Linked DNA regions of Arabidopsis thaliana. The protein of the gene in region 3 interacts with the protein of the main gene of each other region in a pairwise test. Each region holds a gene or a part of one and is shown on either strand. Other genes may lie near its edges.

Region 1 (4,857 bases), 1.3 Mb from region 3:
ACCGACCACTTGTGTTTCTGTCATTTTACATTTATGAATATGAACAATCCATTTGATTCCGTCCTAGGTGGGAGTAGACTGCAATCTACAATAATTAATTTATAGTACAAAACCAATTGATTAGTGAATTGGTTTAAGTTATTAAACTAAAAGAAGTAATTATTCAAGGTTGAGCCCTAGCTATAGTGCCAGATATTTTTAATTAAATCCTAATTAAGCATTTAATTAAGACCCCAATAGACGAAACGAAAGCAAGTACCATCATCATATATAATCATGCATATTTATCAAAGTTTTATATTTTATAACAAGAGAGGGAATCCCAAAGCTATCATCATCATCCACATTTACTCTACCATACTTTCGATTCTTTATGCTCTTTTTATAATCTTAATTGTTGTTGAAACTTTTGCTTCTTTATTTTAAATATACGTTTATGGTGCTTATTTAAACAACAAATATGTAATACGTCGAAACAGTTTGTAATATGTGTACGTAATATTAAACTATATCATTTCTTCGAATAATAACACATATCACATATCATATGTTATTTACAAAAATTCTTCATCAAATACATTCATTAACATATATATATATATTTATATATATGACATCTATGATCATATATTTTTATTTTTATCAAAATAGTCATAGTTTCCATATGTATTATTAATAGAGTTTAGTTTACAATATTTCAAAGCCTTAATAAGTAGTTCTTTTACTTTGAAAAAACAAAAATAGACATTTATAATAGAAAAACAGAGAGGTTGGTTAAAATGCTAAAAGTCTCATTTTATTCATACTTTTAGTTTTTTCTTTTTTTTTTGAAAAACCCTATTTATTTGATAACATACATAAATCAACTTTTGGGCAGTGGTGTTACATACCATAGTTCTTCACTTTTTTTGTATAGAGATTTGCTATCTGATTAAATAAAAACGAATAATGCTTGGGTTTAAAATTGTGAATAACAATGATAATGTTTCTAGTTTCCGGCAAAAGTAGCAGGGGAAGAATGATTACGTGAATGATGTAGGACCCAAAACGTTTTGAAATAAATTACTAAATTTTTGACCAAATTGAGTTGTTTAATTTGGAGAGGAGTGTTGGCCCCATCACTCTCTCGTCGACCTCTCCATTGTCTTTATGGAATGAATGATAAAAGAGGACACCTCACGTGGACTCTGCTGCCACAACGACTCTCTCCAACCATATCCCCTTCACATATATGACATATTTTTCTTACATTTACTATATATTAAAGACTCCACATTGTACATTTTTTCATCTCATTTATTAACGCAACGTTCAGATTTTTCCATTTTTAACTAGTCGTGAAAAGTATTTTCGTTGTACGGTGAATATTGTAGCCCTTTTTTACGGTGGGTGTTTTTTTTTTCATTTGATTGATGAGTAAATCTACATCGAGAAAAGAATATAATGAAAGATATACCGAAATCTTTTGATTATGGACAGATTTATTTTGTTTAAACCTTTTTTTTTTTTTACTGTTTTAAAAAGTTGACTAAATGCTTATCTGAGAAAATAATTAACGTGAAAAATAATTTGATATAATTCGGATTAAGTTAACTATAACAGACTGATTTTGATTGAGCAGAAATTAACGTTGAAATATTCACATTGGCTAATTACATCAATTCATTTTTGCGTTGATTAAATGACACTTTCTTTTCTTCAACTATTAAATGATATTCCCATTGTTGACATTTCTCTAAGTATATGATTTTAAGTAATTTTCATAAAGAAGCAATGAACAGTATTTTCATTTGAAAAAAAAAAGATATGTAATGAGATTTTTCTTTTAATTTTTTAATGTTATGTAAAGCTCACCCATATAATTCTCACTCATGATCTTTGTTTCTTTAAGCTTTTCTTCTCCATTGTCTCTCTCTTTCTTATCCTCTCTTTCTCAATCAATTCCTTCAGACTTATACACTTTATTTTTTTTCCCCTCTTGTCGAAAACATCACATATAAATAAAAAACCAAAAACCCTAATTTATAAAATATATATAAAATAGTTATAGCTCCCCACTTATATATGCAAAAGCCAACATCAAGTATCTTAAATGTCATAATGGACGGTGGAGACAGCGTCGGAGGAGGAGGAGGAGATGATCACCACCGTCACCTCCACCATCACCACCGCCCTACTTTCCCTTTTCAACTACTCGGAAAACACGACCCCGACGACAACCATCAACAACAACCTTCCCCTTCCTCCTCCTCCTCTCTATTTTCTCTCCATCAACACCAACAATTATCTCAATCGCAACCTCAATCGCAATCGCAAAAGTCACAACCGCAGACAACGCAAAAAGAGTTATTACAAACGCAAGAGGAATCTGCGGTGGTGGCAGCTAAAAAGCCACCGTTGAAACGAGCGTCGACGAAAGACCGACACACGAAAGTAGACGGAAGAGGGAGGAGAATAAGGATGCCGGCGTTATGTGCAGCTAGGGTTTTTCAGCTAACGCGAGAGCTAGGTCATAAATCCGACGGTGAGACAATAGAGTGGCTTCTTCAACAAGCTGAACCATCTGTAATCGCCGCCACCGGAACCGGAACAATCCCGGCGAATTTCACTTCTTTAAACATCTCTCTCCGTTCTTCAGGCTCTTCCATGTCTCTTCCTTCTCATTTCCGCTCCGCCGCTTCCACTTTTAGCCCTAATAACATATTTTCTCCGGCGATGCTTCAACAACAACAACAACAACAACGTGGTGGTGGTGTTGGGTTTCATCATCCCCATCTACAGGGACGTGCACCTACGTCGTCTTTGTTTCCTGGTATTGATAACTTCACACCAACGACGTCGTTTTTGAACTTTCATAATCCAACAAAGCAAGAAGGAGATCAAGATTCTGAAGAGTTAAACTCGGAGAAGAAAAGAAGAATCCAAACGACGTCGGATTTGCATCAACAACAACAACAACACCAACATGATCAAATCGGAGGATATACACTTCAATCTAGCAACAGTGGATCTACAGCCACCGCAGCCGCCGCGCAACAAATACCGGGAAATTTCTGGATGGTTGCGGCGGCTGCGGCTGCAGGTGGTGGTGGTGGTAATAACAACCAAACAGGTGGTCTTATGACAGCTTCTATTGGTACTGGTGGCGGCGGTGGAGAGCCTGTTTGGACGTTTCCTTCCATTAACACGGCAGCGGCAGCGTTATATAGAAGTGGCGTTTCGGGCGTTCCAAGCGGCGCGGTTTCTAGCGGTTTACATTTTATGAATTTCGCAGCGCCAATGGCATTTCTTACTGGACAACAACAGCTAGCAACAACTAGTAATCATGAGATTAATGAAGATAGTAATAATAATGAAGGAGGAAGAAGTGACGGTGGTGGTGATCATCATAATACACAGAGACATCATCATCATCAACAACAACATCATCATAATATTCTCTCCGGCTTGAACCAGTACGGACGGCAAGTTTCCGGCGACTCTCAAGCTAGTGGATCACTTGGAGGTGGTGATGAGGAGGATCAGCAAGATTAGACACACACAAAAACATTTTAACGGTGGGATTTTCTGCCGACGGCGGTAGCGGTGACGGCGTTCGGCGGCTGTGTAAAACTTTTGTTTTCACCGTTAATTTTTTTTATTTTCTGTAGTAATTTTTTTTGCTAAGTAAAAAAAAAAAAAAAAACACGTGAGATTTTCTTTTTAATTTTGATTTTTTTACTTGATTTTAAATTTGATTTTTCTTGTGAGTGAGTGATTAAATAGTACACGAGATTTTTTATGTCAGGTTTTTTGGATTTTGAGGAGAATATGACACTTTTTTTTATCATTATTGTTTTTAATTGTTTTTTTTCTTCTTCTGATAGTGTCACTGTCGTCTCGATTCTCAATCATCTTCGTTTTCTTTATCCATTAAGAAATTAATTATACATAAAGAAAAATTCTAAAAAGTATTCGTCAAACAATGTTGGTTCCTATAGTAATAATAGTAACATATACATCAAAGTATAATCTTACTGTTTTTTTAGTAACATTACGTTTTTTTAAGTGTTAATACAAAAAAAATTGAGAAACTATTTTATCAAGGAATGAGATGGGCCTCTCTCTATTGGCCCACCAATCTCTGTTATATTTGGCCCTTGAAGTAGTTGTTTCAAAGCTAATAGAAAACAGCAAAGTGTCTCGTTTGTTTTACATGGTCGAACGAAAACGATACAAAAAACATAAAAATATCTCGTTTGATCTTATATGCTATGAAATATATTAAATGCTTTTTTTAGTATATGATTCATTTTATCTCTGTTTCTTTGTCGTTTGTCCCCACTAAACAATCAATCTGATTTTGTATATGATGAGATATCTAATACTATTATATCATGATATTGTTAAAACTGGTTTTGTATATGATGATAATATTATATCAAGACTAGTTTAGACTATGAGAATTAATTAGAAAGTGATATAGTTTGAATGTCGCGTACAAAGTTATGGCTCAAAATTTTGTTTCTTTTTTTTTGACGAAGTACACCAAAAATATTTGATTGTTTCAGTATATTCTTTTTGTGTTTGTATGCCTTTAGAAAGTAATATTAACAATTTGTAAATTGATAGTGTTTAATTAGAACATAATTTACTTTATAAAATCTATTATTATGTTGTGAAAGAAAATATTCACTCAACATCGATCGGTCATATATTCAAGAATCAAGATAAATAATCTGAAGTTTTAAAAATCTGTTTTCGCATGGGTTAAATATAAGTTTTTACAAAAAGGATGAAGACAGAAAACAAATAAAAATAAATGTGAATGCAGACTATATAATATATCATTGAATGTATAAATTATACAAATTCAAT
Region 2 (4,555 bases), about 14 Mb from region 3:
CGTATTAGGTTTGTTAATTGACCCTTTTCTATCATGCTAATATGTCACTTTCTGATTTATTATTACATTAAAGTAGGTGGTCTAATAGTAATTATTTATATGAATAGTTTTAAACTATCAAATAATGCTGTATACTATATATATTTTTCCAACTAAAAAATTATATAGTTATGATCCTTTGCGTCAAGTTTTTATTATTGCTTTGAAGAAAAAACATATTCAACTACTTGAAAATTACGTTAGCTTACCGTACGTGTGTTCAAATTTAATATGCTACAAAATTGTGTGAACAATATAATAGGTTTGTTGTATTTATTCGTTTTTCACCAATCTGGAGATATTTTGTGGTACAAGTATTATAACCACAATATATTCCATACATGAATTAGTTGTGAGAGTTATAGTCAAATTGGTTGGGATTCAAGAAGCATTATACTATTATTATAGAGTCCCACCAATTATTTTTGAACTCGTAAAATTCTCAAGATCTTAGAAATGTCTCCGTTGAAGCTTAGATTGTCTTTTACTCACCTTTATTAGTTTATTTATACGTCGTATTCTTCAATTTCAAAATACCTTTCATATATGAATTTGGGTGATATGCACACGAACACGATACGGTGAAATCAATTAGTTCCACAAGTCAAAATAGCTAGAAAAGAAGTATTGGATTTTAGAACAAAGAATAACGAGAGTCTTATTGTGTTTGTTACTAGTTTATAGAATCTAAAACAGGATTGCAAAAAACAAAAACATCAAAAACGAAGATGAGAGATGAAAAAAGAAAATCTTAGATTATAAAGAGCCCTAATTGTATTGCTAACTAATATTATATTCTTCTTTTAACGAGTTCGATTTTTCGAATAAAATCTACTTTAGTTAACTATTGAGATTCTTACAACAAAAAGGTAAAAAGAAGTGGAGCATCAACAAGCTTTATGTATTTGCATTGAACTAGCATGGGTCAACCCTTAAAAGAAACCGAGAAGCACAAAAGGTTGAATTGAACCTTGACCCATCTAACACCATAGGTTTTTAGGGTATTTATTCATTTATTGAATTCGGAAACTCGAAAAATAAAGTAGCTAGTTCATTCCAGTGATTTCAACTTTTTAAGTATATAATCCCCATGATTATGTATGTATGTGGACATGTCCACGAAAAGAGTGCCCATTTTCATATCAAGGAAGTTAGTAACTCTGACCAAAAGTAGATGTTTTAACACATCTTAGTATTTTTATATCACACTAAATTAAAGTAGTCTGTTTAATGTATTCTCTTAGAAAATAACATAATGATTTGCATGCACATAACAAATCCTATACTATTATTTTGGTAAACAAATTTGGTTTTGGAAACATCTAACTCTAAAAACCATCATTATTATTATTATTATTTTTTTTCTAATATTTTGGCATCCTACAATTTAGTTTATGATTGTGTTGATTATTATTTGGTTGTATTTGCATCTACACATTAAGTTAAACATTGATTTTAAAAATTAACATGAACAAAATGAATACTTACTGTTAAAACCTTATAACAATCAGATTTTTTTTTTAAACAAAGAATGGAAAAAAATGAATAAATTTGGGAAACGAGGAAGCTTTGGTTACCCAAAAAAGAAAGAAAGAAAAAATAAAAGTATTGAATGTGGAGATGAGAGGAAAAAAACACTTACTGTCATCTTACCCAGTTGCGTCATCATCAAACCCACAACACTCTCTTCCTCTTCCCTCTTCCTTCTGCTTATTTTACTTTTTCTCTTTAACCATTTTCCCGAGAGAGAAAAATAAAAAGAAAAGCTTTCTCTGGGTTTTTCTTGATTGGTCAATTACACATCTCCCTTTCTCTCTTCTCTCTCTCACCTTCGCTTGCTTTGCTTGCTTCATCTCTTTGGTCTCCTTCTTGCGTTTTCTATTTACTACACAGACCAAACAATAGAGAGAGACTTTAAGCTATAGAAAAAAAGAGAGAGATTCTCTCAAATATGGGTTAGTCCACAATTTTCACTAAACCTCTTCTTCTTAGGATTGTTTTTAGGGTTAGGGTTTTGAGGTGAGGAGAGCAAGTATGCGGGAGTTTCATCCTTTTTGAGTTACTCTGGATTCCTCACCCTCTAACGACGACCACCGTCGCCGCCGCCGCCGCCGTCTCGACGAATATGCTCTACCAATGTCTGACGACCAATTCCATCACCCGCCGCCTCCTTCTTCAATGAGGCACCGTTCTACGTCGGATGCGGCGGACGGCGGCTGCGGCGAGATTGTTGAGGTGCAAGGTGGTCACATTGTTCGGTCTACCGGAAGAAAAGACCGCCACAGCAAAGTCTGCACGGCTAAAGGGCCACGTGACCGGCGCGTGAGACTCTCTGCTCACACGGCGATTCAGTTTTACGATGTTCAAGACAGGCTTGGTTTCGACCGACCTAGCAAAGCCGTTGATTGGCTTATCAAAAAGGCTAAGACTTCCATTGACGAGCTCGCTGAGCTTCCTCCCTGGAATCCCGCCGATGCAATTCGCCTAGCCGCTGCTAACGCTAAACCCAGAAGAACCACCGCCAAAACCCAAATCTCTCCGTCTCCGCCACCGCCGCAACAGCAACAACAACAACAACAGCTTCAGTTCGGTGTTGGCTTCAACGGAGGAGGAGCAGAGCATCCGAGTAACAACGAGTCGAGTTTTCTCCCGCCGTCAATGGATTCAGATTCGATAGCTGACACTATAAAGTCGTTTTTTCCGGTGATTGGCTCTTCAACGGAGGCTCCTTCGAATCATAACCTTATGCACAACTATCATCATCAGCATCCGCCGGATTTGCTTTCTCGAACTAATAGCCAAAACCAAGATCTCCGTCTCTCGCTGCAATCGTTCCCGGATGGTCCACCGTCGCTTCTGCACCACCAACATCACCACCACACCTCTGCTTCCGCCTCCGAGCCTACTCTGTTCTACGGACAGAGCAATCCGTTAGGGTTTGACACATCGAGTTGGGAGCAGCAGTCGTCGGAATTCGGAAGGATTCAGAGACTAGTGGCTTGGAACAGCGGCGGTGGCGGCGGAGCAACCGATACAGGAAACGGAGGAGGGTTTCTGTTCGCTCCTCCTACTCCTTCAACGACGTCGTTTCAGCCAGTTCTTGGCCAAAGCCAACAGCTTTATTCTCAGAGGGGTCCCCTTCAGTCCAGTTACAGTCCCATGATCCGTGCTTGGTTTGATCCTCACCATCATCACCAATCCATCTCCACCGACGATCTCAACCACCACCATCACCTTCCTCCACCGGTTCACCAATCAGCAATCCCCGGAATCGGATTCGCCTCAGGTGAATTCTCTTCGGGTTTTCGCATACCAGCACGGTTTCAGGGCCAAGAAGAGGAGCAGCACGACGGTCTCACTCACAAGCCGTCCTCTGCTTCCTCTATTTCTCGCCATTGACAATCGAAACTAATCCTCTAAGTTTCAGGTTTATCTCAAGTTCTGTCCTTTTACATCAAATTCACTACTTTTGTACTTCTTTGGTCATTGAACTTTAAACCATTTTGCAGGGCTTGTCTAGCTTCCATGCACATTGAAGCTTGACTTAGATTGTCCGGAACAGGGAAGGTGTTCTCGGTTTGTGTAGTCAATGGCCTGAATCTAGAAAACGCAAGGAAATGAAGAAAGAACAACAGTTTCAGGTTCTTCTTCTTCTTCTTCCAATATCTTAACCTTGCCGATTGTAATTTTTCATATTTTCACCAGTTAGACCAACGTTCTTCTGTAGCTCAATTATGGTTAGATTCCAAGGTTTCGTCTTGTTGTGTTATGTTTGTAACTTTGTATCATCATCATCCTATTGTTACTGCTCCCTGTTCTTATTGTGTAACTCCGTGGATGTTCTAATAAAGTCTGAAACTTTCTCTTTGGGTTTTACTTTTACTGCTCTGTTCAGGCTAGATCCTTGTTATTTAAACAACATGAGATTCCTATTTCTCACGTAATCTTTTGGTCCCAAGAGATATAAGTTGGTCATTTTCCATGAACAGTAAGTTTTGAATTGTTTCTTCTTCTGGAACATCAGGGGGATTTAGCCAGTTCCCTTAAATTACAAGTGAAACTTAGCTCACTAAGAGTAAAAATATGATTATTGTTTTCTATGTCTGATGTCAATAATTGTTCTCTCTCACCTACTTTAGTGGTAGGAGGAGATCCACCAAACTTGAATGTGATGTTGTCTTTGATGAGTAAAAGAATGGGGACATGAGATAGGTAAAGAGAGCCACCCATGTTGGTCTAAATGAAGGAAGTTGATCAAAACTAGTCTATCTTCTCTATCATCATCATCTTTTGATAATAATATTGGATTTTTGCAAAGTTTAGTCAAAAACACTTGGGGTCTAAATGCATGTGTATTATAAGAATATTTAACTTTACCTTTTAATAGAAAAGCAGCAACACCTTTTCATGTGATGTAATCAAAACACACCAGATGGATGAGTTGAGATATCATAAAGTACGTTTACATCAAAAGATAGAAAAGAAGAATCTTCAATTTAAAGGTCTAATGAGTCAT
Region 3 (4,754 bases):
ATAAGCTGATGTGTCAATCACTAAATGCATCACTTACTGGAAAAGTGACTGCTGATTTAGTATATTTAGATATATTGAGAAACTTTGGGCCTAAACTGAGATAAATGGGCTTATAAATTATGGCCTAAGCCCCCAAGTAACGATGGCCTATTTTCATTAACGTAATGGGTCGTATTAGGAGATTGTAAACGGCTTAGTGTTGTCCTGTCGTGATAATAACACGTCACTATATCGATTATCAATAATGGTCCTACGATACGATTGGCACAGCAAAAAAATCTATTGTCCGAATCTCTTTCTTCTTTTTGTCTATCGAATATCTAATCAAATCAAATGTCAAATTCGAAAGGTAAAAAATTTCAATATTCCACCGAAAATTTTAACAAAAAAACAAATGGGACCCTATTATTCAAGATTTGGAAAGAGTTTCTATATAAAGAAGTAAATCTCACTCTCTTTACCTATTCCGATTAAGGAAACGAAAGCAAAACAATTCCATTTATTGCATTTGTGAAGGAATTTATTAGATAAGAAGAGTAAATCATCATCACTCGTCACTAAAGATTTCTTTGCGTTTAAGAAATCGAAATTAGGTAAATCAGAATAATTAACTAATTGCATATATATTAAATAGTGAACCCTTTCTTTCAAAGGGAAGTTTTCAAATTCTCACACTAACCTATTGAACAAGAACATCTAAAACCCTCTCAAACACATTCATTTACTCTACTTATGATTTTCTTCTACTAATGTCTTTCCCTGAAAACTCTCCTGATCCAAATGTTGTTGCCATATCGATGCCGGTTCCTCCTCCGACTAGAGTAGATAGTCCGTTACTTGGACCATTTCCGTTACCAACCGCTCTACCTAAACCGAGGAAGTCTAATGTCGTTTGTTTCGGACCAAACACCGATGAATTCCCCATCATAAGCTCTTTTAAACCCGAGCTGCTTTCGCCACCACAAGGCAGTCCTAATCCTAGTCCATGAGGGACTATTGCGTCTATAGAAGTTGAAGTGGATGAAACTATCCCTAACCCGTGAAGCAATGAACCTCCTGAAGAAGCTGCTCCCATTTGAGCTGCTTTTTGAAGTAAAGCGGTTGCTGACATCGCGGGCTGAGCGTGGAACCGGTTTGACCCAAGAAAGGATGATCCATGACTTGTTGAAAGACCCAAAGAGATAGGTTCAATGGACGAAGATGACGCGAAAAGACTCTTCGAAGAAGACGATGTTGTGTATATACTTGGAGAAGCCGAGGAAGATTCGAATAAGCCTGCGAAAACACCGTTGCTTGTAACAACATTTAAACTGGTCGGTTTTGGAGCTTCTTGAACGATTTCAGGAGGGGTTTTTGGAGATTCTGTAGATCATAAGAGTCATTAGTCGTTTACATAAAGTTTGATACTTTTTGAATTGAAAAAATAAACTGTAAACAAACAAAAAGCAAATCAATCATATCTTTGATTTGTTTATCATAAAGAACCAATCAGCCATTGAACAACTATTAAACTTACCAAACGAATTATGTTCTTAATCAAGTAACAGATAAAATAATACGACACTACGGACAAAACATCTAACTAAACTCCAAGAACACCACCGACCATTAACAGAGATTACCTTAGCCATCTTCATTTTCAGCTTAAAACAAAGAAATATAGCGACAAAAATGAATCCAAAAACACCAAAAAATTCCCAATCTAGAACACTACAAGAGACTCTTTACCTGATTGCTTAATTGTTAAAGTCGAGGAGGATTTGATTTTAGCAGACTCAGTATCCACCGGAGCAGGAACCGGGTTGGGTACCGGGTTTTTCCGGGTCAAAATTTCAGGATTCTGTTTCTTACTCTGACTATGATGACTTCTCGCATTTTCTTCAGCCAAAGCATCACAAAAAGCTCTATGCGTTATAAAACTATCCCTCCTGCAAACAAAAATCACTCAAAACTTAGATTGTTGAATTTTGAATTTTTTCTTATGTATGATCAAAAAAGGCAAACACTTTACCTAGAAAACAGAGTACCACAATCACATTTATACTCTTTAGTACCACAAATCTTGGAATGAGCTTTCCAATCAGATTGAACAGCGTATTTCTTAGAACATTTATCACATTTCCACTTCTTCTCACCATGTTTCCGACAAAAGTGTTTCTTGATTCCAGTTAGATCTCCTAAAGCACGTGAAGGGTCGTGATGAACACAACTAACTTCAGGACAAACATAGACTTTTTTCTTCACTTCTTTGTTTGATTTCTGACGAAGCTTCCATGGTAAATTGTGTCCACGACGATGAAGTTGAAGATTCTGGTCTCTTTGAAACCCTTTGTTACAGATTTCACAAACAAATCTGTTTGTTGCTAGTAATGTTTTTGGTGATAAAGCTATAACTTCTGACTCTGGATCTGTATAAAAAGGACAAAACTTTAACAAAAATTGAGAAATTTTGAGTTATAATAAAGTTTGGATTTTTGAAGTTTACCAGGCATGCCAGGGAGGTTACGTTTCTTCTTTCCGGTGGAGTTTGGAAGTGGGTTTTGGTTTCCGGTGGATGAGATTGAAACACTTGCTTCACCGGAAACTGTGGAGGAGTTATCTAAATCTACCGGCATCTTTTTTTTTAGTCTCACTCTGTTTTTTTTTGTTTCTTACTGATTCTTAAATATGTGAAAAAGAGTTAAGAATGAAATAAATGAAGAAAAAAAAATCAGCTCATTTTTTTCGTCAACCAAGTTTCAACCTTTAGGGTTTTGTTTTTTACTCGTTTCTATAATTCTCCTCCGTTGTTTCAGCTACCAGTCAATCTGCTTTTCGTAAAAAATCTCTTTTTTTGCTACCTACTTTTTCTGATAACAACGATTGAAATTTAAAGCAAAACCAAAAAAATTACATTTAAAGACCAAAACTTCTTCTACTGATAAGAGAGCTGAGATTCCACCGGAGAGTTACGCCGTCGGAAAGAGACAGAGAAGAAGAAATAAGGCGTCTCGTGAGATTTCGTGTGAAAGAAAGAAAAAAAGCTAAGAACCTTTTTTTTTTTGGGTGGTGGCTCTTTGGTTGTTCCGAGACAAAGGAACCTTTCTTTCTTCTTCTGTCTCTCTCTTTCTCTCTATTGGCACAATTATTATTATTTTTCTCTTTTATCGATTTACAACTTTTCAACATTTTGGATATTTTAAAAAGATTTTGAATTTTTTTAAATAATTTTTTTGAGCTATTTAAAAAGAAATATTTTGTCGATCCTTGTGGGGTTCGAGTGTTTTCAAGTATATCTATCTTGATTTTGGACTCCCATATAAAAAATATCAATCTCATTGTCTCTCTCTTTCTAATAATCTAATTATCTACTCATTTTTGCCTTATGAAGTTAGTAGATAAAGTAGTTTTATGTCATCGACGATTTCTTATATATGGGAATTCATATCAAGTCTTATTATCCATAGTCATGTCACATAATCAACTAACCAAATACTGATATGACCGTTATGTTACAATAAAAATACAAATTTAGTAGAATGAGAGTAAACTACTAAAATGATGAAATAACTTTGCAAGTGAAACGAGGAGTTAAAAAGATTAATTGTCGTTTGTCTTTAAGCGAAGACAGTGGAGGATTTACCGTCACGTTGTCGGACCAAACATCTCCGTTAAAAAAAAAAAATTTCCATAATCGTCGATAAAACAAGAAAAGAGAAGAGAAACAATTACGGAAATTTTGAAATTACGGTTGGTTTTGTCGTCTATCGATTCCATGGTATCAATAAAAATTTCTGATAACCATGCTAGTACACATTTAATGCAATTGATCGTGTTATTTGTTGACCTTGACCTTTTTGTGTATCTACAAATTACGTGTGTCGTATAACATCTTGCGTACAATAATTATCATCTTTTTCATAATATAGTTGTTTATAAGATTGGATTGATATTATTTCTTGCTTTTTGGCAATTGATTAAAGGATAAATGCAACTTTTATGTAATTATATATCCAGCAAAAACAAGCGTTTGACTACATAAATATAATTGTCTTATTTCTTTTTTTACTGTCTTATAAAATGTTTATTTTGATGACCTTCAAAAAAACAACATTATTTTTAGGCGTAACAGGGTCCCTCAAGAATCCAGAACACTATTTAGCCAGCCTAGAAATTCCATTTCCTGAAATAAAGTTTCCAGCACTATCTAGCAATCAAATTAAAGAACTAATAACTTTTGCTCCTAGTATTGTAGTATTAGTAATAGATGGGAATGCAAATATACTAAGCGATAATCCAAATGCTACTTTAAAAAGTGATTAACAAAATATTTGCATGCACGGACATTGCTGGGCCGAAGTCTTGATATCCCAAGCAGGGCCCATTCAAGTTTATATTATTCCATTTCTTTTGTAGGTAGTGCATTTTCTTCCGTGGAAAGCCCTCGTAATGAATAACGAGTTATCTTGGTCCAAACAAATAAAAATGAAGAACAAGTTTGTCCAAGTGAGGAAAAACGTGGCACTGAAGGTATTCAAGTCGGTCACTGTTTACATACTCCTCAAAAATTGCTTCGATTTTGTGTAAGGATCTTGTTGATTTAGCATCTTAAACATCGCCATTCGTATTCGATCACATATGTTTGGAAATGTGAAAATAAAAAAAAATAAAAAAAACTATAATTACTTTAAGTGTAGTATCAATTATCAAATCATGATCTTTTTATTTTCTTGAAGCATACAATCATATTAATATATGGATATTCATAATTAACA
Region 4 (3,781 bases), 320 kb from region 3:
AATGCCTAATTGAATAACACTAGAATCAACATTCTAATAAATTCCGTCAAATTCATTGCTCCAATACCCCCCTCCCCCCCCCCCCCCCCCCAAGTAATTGAAATGGGCTTGAAACCATGGGGCCGGAAATTTTCACTTTGTATTATTTTGATGAAGCCCAATAGACTTTACGGAAAGACCTTAGGTTTCAAGTAGGTTTTTAAGTTTTATGAAACAGAGAAACATATACGTGTTCGTGAAGGAGAAGACGTGAAGGTAACTTGGACTATAAAGTGTATAGTGTTAGCGAAAAGGTGAAGCAGAATAAATAAAGTGTTATGCGTTATCAAGTCTACCTAATATAACTAGCTAGGGATTTCTACTCTTGTTTTCATAATCGATCTACGGACATTTCTCGGAACGTGGTCAAGATTCATGAGTCTTCTGTTTTTTATGTCTCTGTTCAATTTGGTTTAGAGATTAGTATGCTTATTTGTTTATTTCATATATGGTTATGAGAGGAGAGGCTAATGGCATATACTCTGATGTTTGTGATGGCTGCTAATATCGTTGAGGAGTTATTCACGTTGTTTCATGCGCAAAAATCAACAGAAAAAATTCTGATTATGAGCCAACTCTGTGAACCCTTATAGTGCGCCCAGAGGTTTGCGAGGCAAAATCCCGATGAACCAGAAGGAATTTTAGATCTCTATCAACAATAACTATGATGGAGCTCGTTTAAATTCATCACAGCGACAACATCATTAGGCTGCCCAACGTCTATGTCTCCTGGAGGTGATGGTACTTGATCTCTCAACCAATTTTCTTGAAAATATCATGCCTTGTGAGCGCTTTCATATTGCGCCTAAAATACCCAATACGCAATGAACCTACTTCCAAAGGCATAGAAAAAAAACTGATAATGATAATGAGATTTGTCACTATACTTATCCTATCCCTACATAGGAGCCGTTTGATTGTTTAGTCCATGTTTTCATTTTGTTTAGTCTAATGCTATATAACTTTTCTTTATCAGTCTATTGTTATATGACTTATATATATCTCAAGAGATAAGGCCAATAAATCTTCTTCTTAATTATATCTGAAGACTCAAAACATATTTTGAGTTTAATAAAATAAATAACGTCCAAATGCTACATACAAACGGACCAAATTCATGGAGGTATAAATTTAAATTATTTTTTGTTCCAAAGTGTATGCAGTGATTTATTGATGAATGCGATAGAGCGGCGAAAGAGAATAATCGTCACCTAGAAGACAAATTGATCGGCCGTACATATATACATAAATACAAACCTGCCACTTCACATGTCACCCACCTTTAAGCACCCCCTTCACATACATACTTTCTATAACAAAAATATCAGCTTCTAGTTCATATTTATGTTACAATAACTCGAGTGAATCATACTAAAAAAATGTAATGCTTTCTCTAAATAGGAGATAAAATGCACCCTCCGACCTAACTAAAGATTCCTTATTTTAGCTATTTAAGACATATTGCACATGTATAGAGATACATAAACACATATGCAATATGCACATCTTCTATACATTGAAAAAAGCTGATCTTGCAAATATTTGTCTTACACAACACAAGCGACCAAAGCGATGCGTTTCCCAATGATAAGGTTACGACATACTTACACGACTCTCTCTATTGTCTCGTCTCTTTCTTTCCTCATCCCTCTCCTTTGTCTCCTTTCACTCTATTTTTCACTTTTCAGAATACTTTTACGTAAAAATCATGGACATGTCATTGTCTCCACCCTACTATACTCTTTTTTTGTTCTTTTTGTTTCCTCTTGTGTCACAAAAATAACAAGATTAAACGTACATTTCTCTCTAAAACCAGACTCAAATGACCAAAACCCGGATTCTCAACCCGACCCGATTCCCTTCTCCCAAACCCTTACGTGGCTGCGGCGACGCTAACTTCATGGAACAGCTCCTCCTTCACTGCGCCACCGCCATAGACTCCAACGACGCTGCATTAACTCACCAAATCCTCTGGGTCCTCAACAACATCGCTCCACCAGACGGTGACTCCACCCAACGTCTTACATCCGCATTCCTCCGCGCGTTGCTCTCACGCGCCGTCTCCAAAACCCCTACACTATCATCCACCATTAGCTTCCTACCTCAGGCCGATGAACTCCATCGTTTCTCAGTCGTGGAGTTAGCCGCTTTCGTAGACCTCACTCCGTGGCACCGGTTCGGATTCATTGCAGCCAACGCCGCGATCTTAACCGCCGTTGAAGGTTACTCAACGGTTCACATCGTTGACTTAAGTTTGACTCATTGTATGCAAATCCCTACTCTTATAGACGCCATGGCAAGCCGACTCAACAAACCTCCTCCGCTTCTTAAACTCACCGTCGTCTCTTCCTCCGACCACTTCCCACCATTCATCAACATCTCCTACGAAGAACTCGGATCTAAACTAGTCAACTTCGCCACCACACGAAACATTACAATGGAGTTCACAATCGTACCTTCTACTTACTCCGATGGCTTCTCCTCCCTCTTACAACAGTTACGGATTTATCCTTCTTCATTCAACGAAGCTCTCGTCGTTAACTGTCACATGATGCTCCGTTACATCCCTGAAGAACCCCTAACTTCATCATCATCATCGCTCCGAACAGTTTTCTTGAAACAACTCCGATCTTTGAATCCAAGAATCGTAACCCTAATCGAAGAAGACGTAGATCTCACATCGGAGAACTTGGTTAACCGGTTAAAATCGGCGTTTAACTACTTCTGGATTCCGTTCGATACGACGGACACGTTTATGAGTGAGCAGAGACGGTGGTACGAGGCGGAGATAAGTTGGAAGATAGAAAACGTGGTGGCGAAGGAAGGTGCGGAGAGAGTGGAGAGGACGGAGACGAAGAGACGGTGGATAGAGAGAATGAGAGAGGCTGAGTTCGGTGGAGTTAGGGTTAAAGAAGATGCGGTGGCGGATGTGAAGGCGATGCTGGAGGAGCACGCTGTCGGGTGGGGAATGAAGAAGGAAGACGACGACGAGAGTCTCGTGCTGACGTGGAAAGGTCATAGTGTTGTGTTTGCTACCGTTTGGGTTCCCATTTAAATCAGGTTGATTTAATTTAATTAGCGTTTTAATTGGATACCTAATATAGTAGAATAGCATTGCTTTAATTTCTGATCTAATTACAATTTAATAATATTTTTTATTAACTTTTTTTTTTGTTCTAATCTAGTGTCAATTGTTTTGTACTAGTTCAAAACATTCTAACGTTGAAAAATAATCGTTATTATGACTAAACATATTTTACATCTTCATAAGCACTTTTAGTTTACATAGATATTTTTCCGTGAATAGGCTTAGTGATAACAGTGAAAACTTATTATAATAGGAAAAATTGAATAGTATATAGTTATTTAAATTTGTAGCGAGAATAAACATGTTGGAGATACAAAGTAGAGAGGATCAGATACAATTGCCTTCTTAAAATGAAGACATAAACAAAACAAATGAAAAACCAATAATATCTTCTCATCGTCAAAATGAACATTCAAACATTAATAAAACGAAAGGAAAATAGGAGATAAGACAACTTATATTTTCCCATTACCAGCTCTAGTTAAACGCACCACAATCACGACGGATGTTTCCATTGCTGCTATTCTTAACTCCAACACGGCCAAGTTTGGTCATGGCTATCACAAAAGCGCGGTTAAAGGCCGTAGAGTTTGAGGCCCAAGCATTAACGGTGGGCCTAGAGCGACCATCCGTGAAGAGAACTTGATCGGAGGT

What was found.
Region 1: the proteins of IDD2 (region 3) and TCP14 interact in binary tests that used the Arabidopsis thaliana proteins (3 or more experiments, as listed by UniProt).
Region 2: the proteins of IDD2 (region 3) and TCP4 interact in binary tests that used the Arabidopsis thaliana proteins (3 or more experiments, as listed by UniProt).
Region 4: the proteins of IDD2 (region 3) and AT3G49950 interact in binary tests that used the Arabidopsis thaliana proteins (3 or more experiments, as listed by UniProt).

Annotation. Positions count from the first base shown.
Region 1 is NC_003074.8:17,556,940-17,561,796, forward strand, and holds TCP14 (TEOSINTE BRANCHED, cycloidea and PCF (TCP) 14), read left to right. Parts: upstream 1-1,853; 5' UTR 1,854-2,064; coding exon 2,065-3,534; 3' UTR 3,535-4,320; downstream 4,321-4,857. UniProt on the Arabidopsis thaliana protein: Transcription factor involved the regulation of plant development. Binds to the Up1 elements (5'-GGCCCAWW-3') in early light-induced proteins (ELIPs, e.g.
Region 2 is NC_003074.8:5,060,133-5,064,687, forward strand, and holds TCP4 (TCP family transcription factor 4), read left to right. Parts: upstream 1-1,548; 5' UTR 1,549-2,175; coding exon 2,176-3,438; 3' UTR 3,439-3,466; intron 3,467-3,548; 3' UTR 3,549-4,020; downstream 4,021-4,555. UniProt on the Arabidopsis thaliana protein: Transcription factor playing a pivotal role in the control of morphogenesis of shoot organs by negatively regulating the expression of boundary-specific genes such as CUC genes, probably through the induction of miRNA (e.g. miR164).
Region 3 is NC_003074.8:18,838,806-18,843,559, reverse strand, and holds IDD2 (indeterminate(ID)-domain 2), read right to left. Parts: upstream 3,150-4,754; 5' UTR 2,616-3,149; coding exon 2,486-2,615; intron 2,409-2,485; coding exon 2,012-2,408; intron 1,929-2,011; coding exon 1,729-1,928; intron 1,363-1,728; coding exon 731-1,362; 3' UTR 507-730; downstream 1-506. UniProt on the Arabidopsis thaliana protein: Transcription factor that acts as a positive regulator of gibberellin (GA) action, homeostasis and signaling. GA converts the GAF1 complex from transcriptional activator to repressor via the degradation of DELLA proteins.
Region 4 is NC_003074.8:18,520,709-18,524,489, forward strand, and holds AT3G49950 (GRAS family transcription factor), read left to right. Parts: upstream 1-1,757; 5' UTR 1,758-1,861; coding exon 1,862-3,094; 3' UTR 3,095-3,226; downstream 3,227-3,781. Other genes in the region: AT3G49960 (Peroxidase superfamily protein), read right to left, coding at 3,605-3,781. UniProt on the Arabidopsis thaliana protein: Probable transcription factor involved in plant development.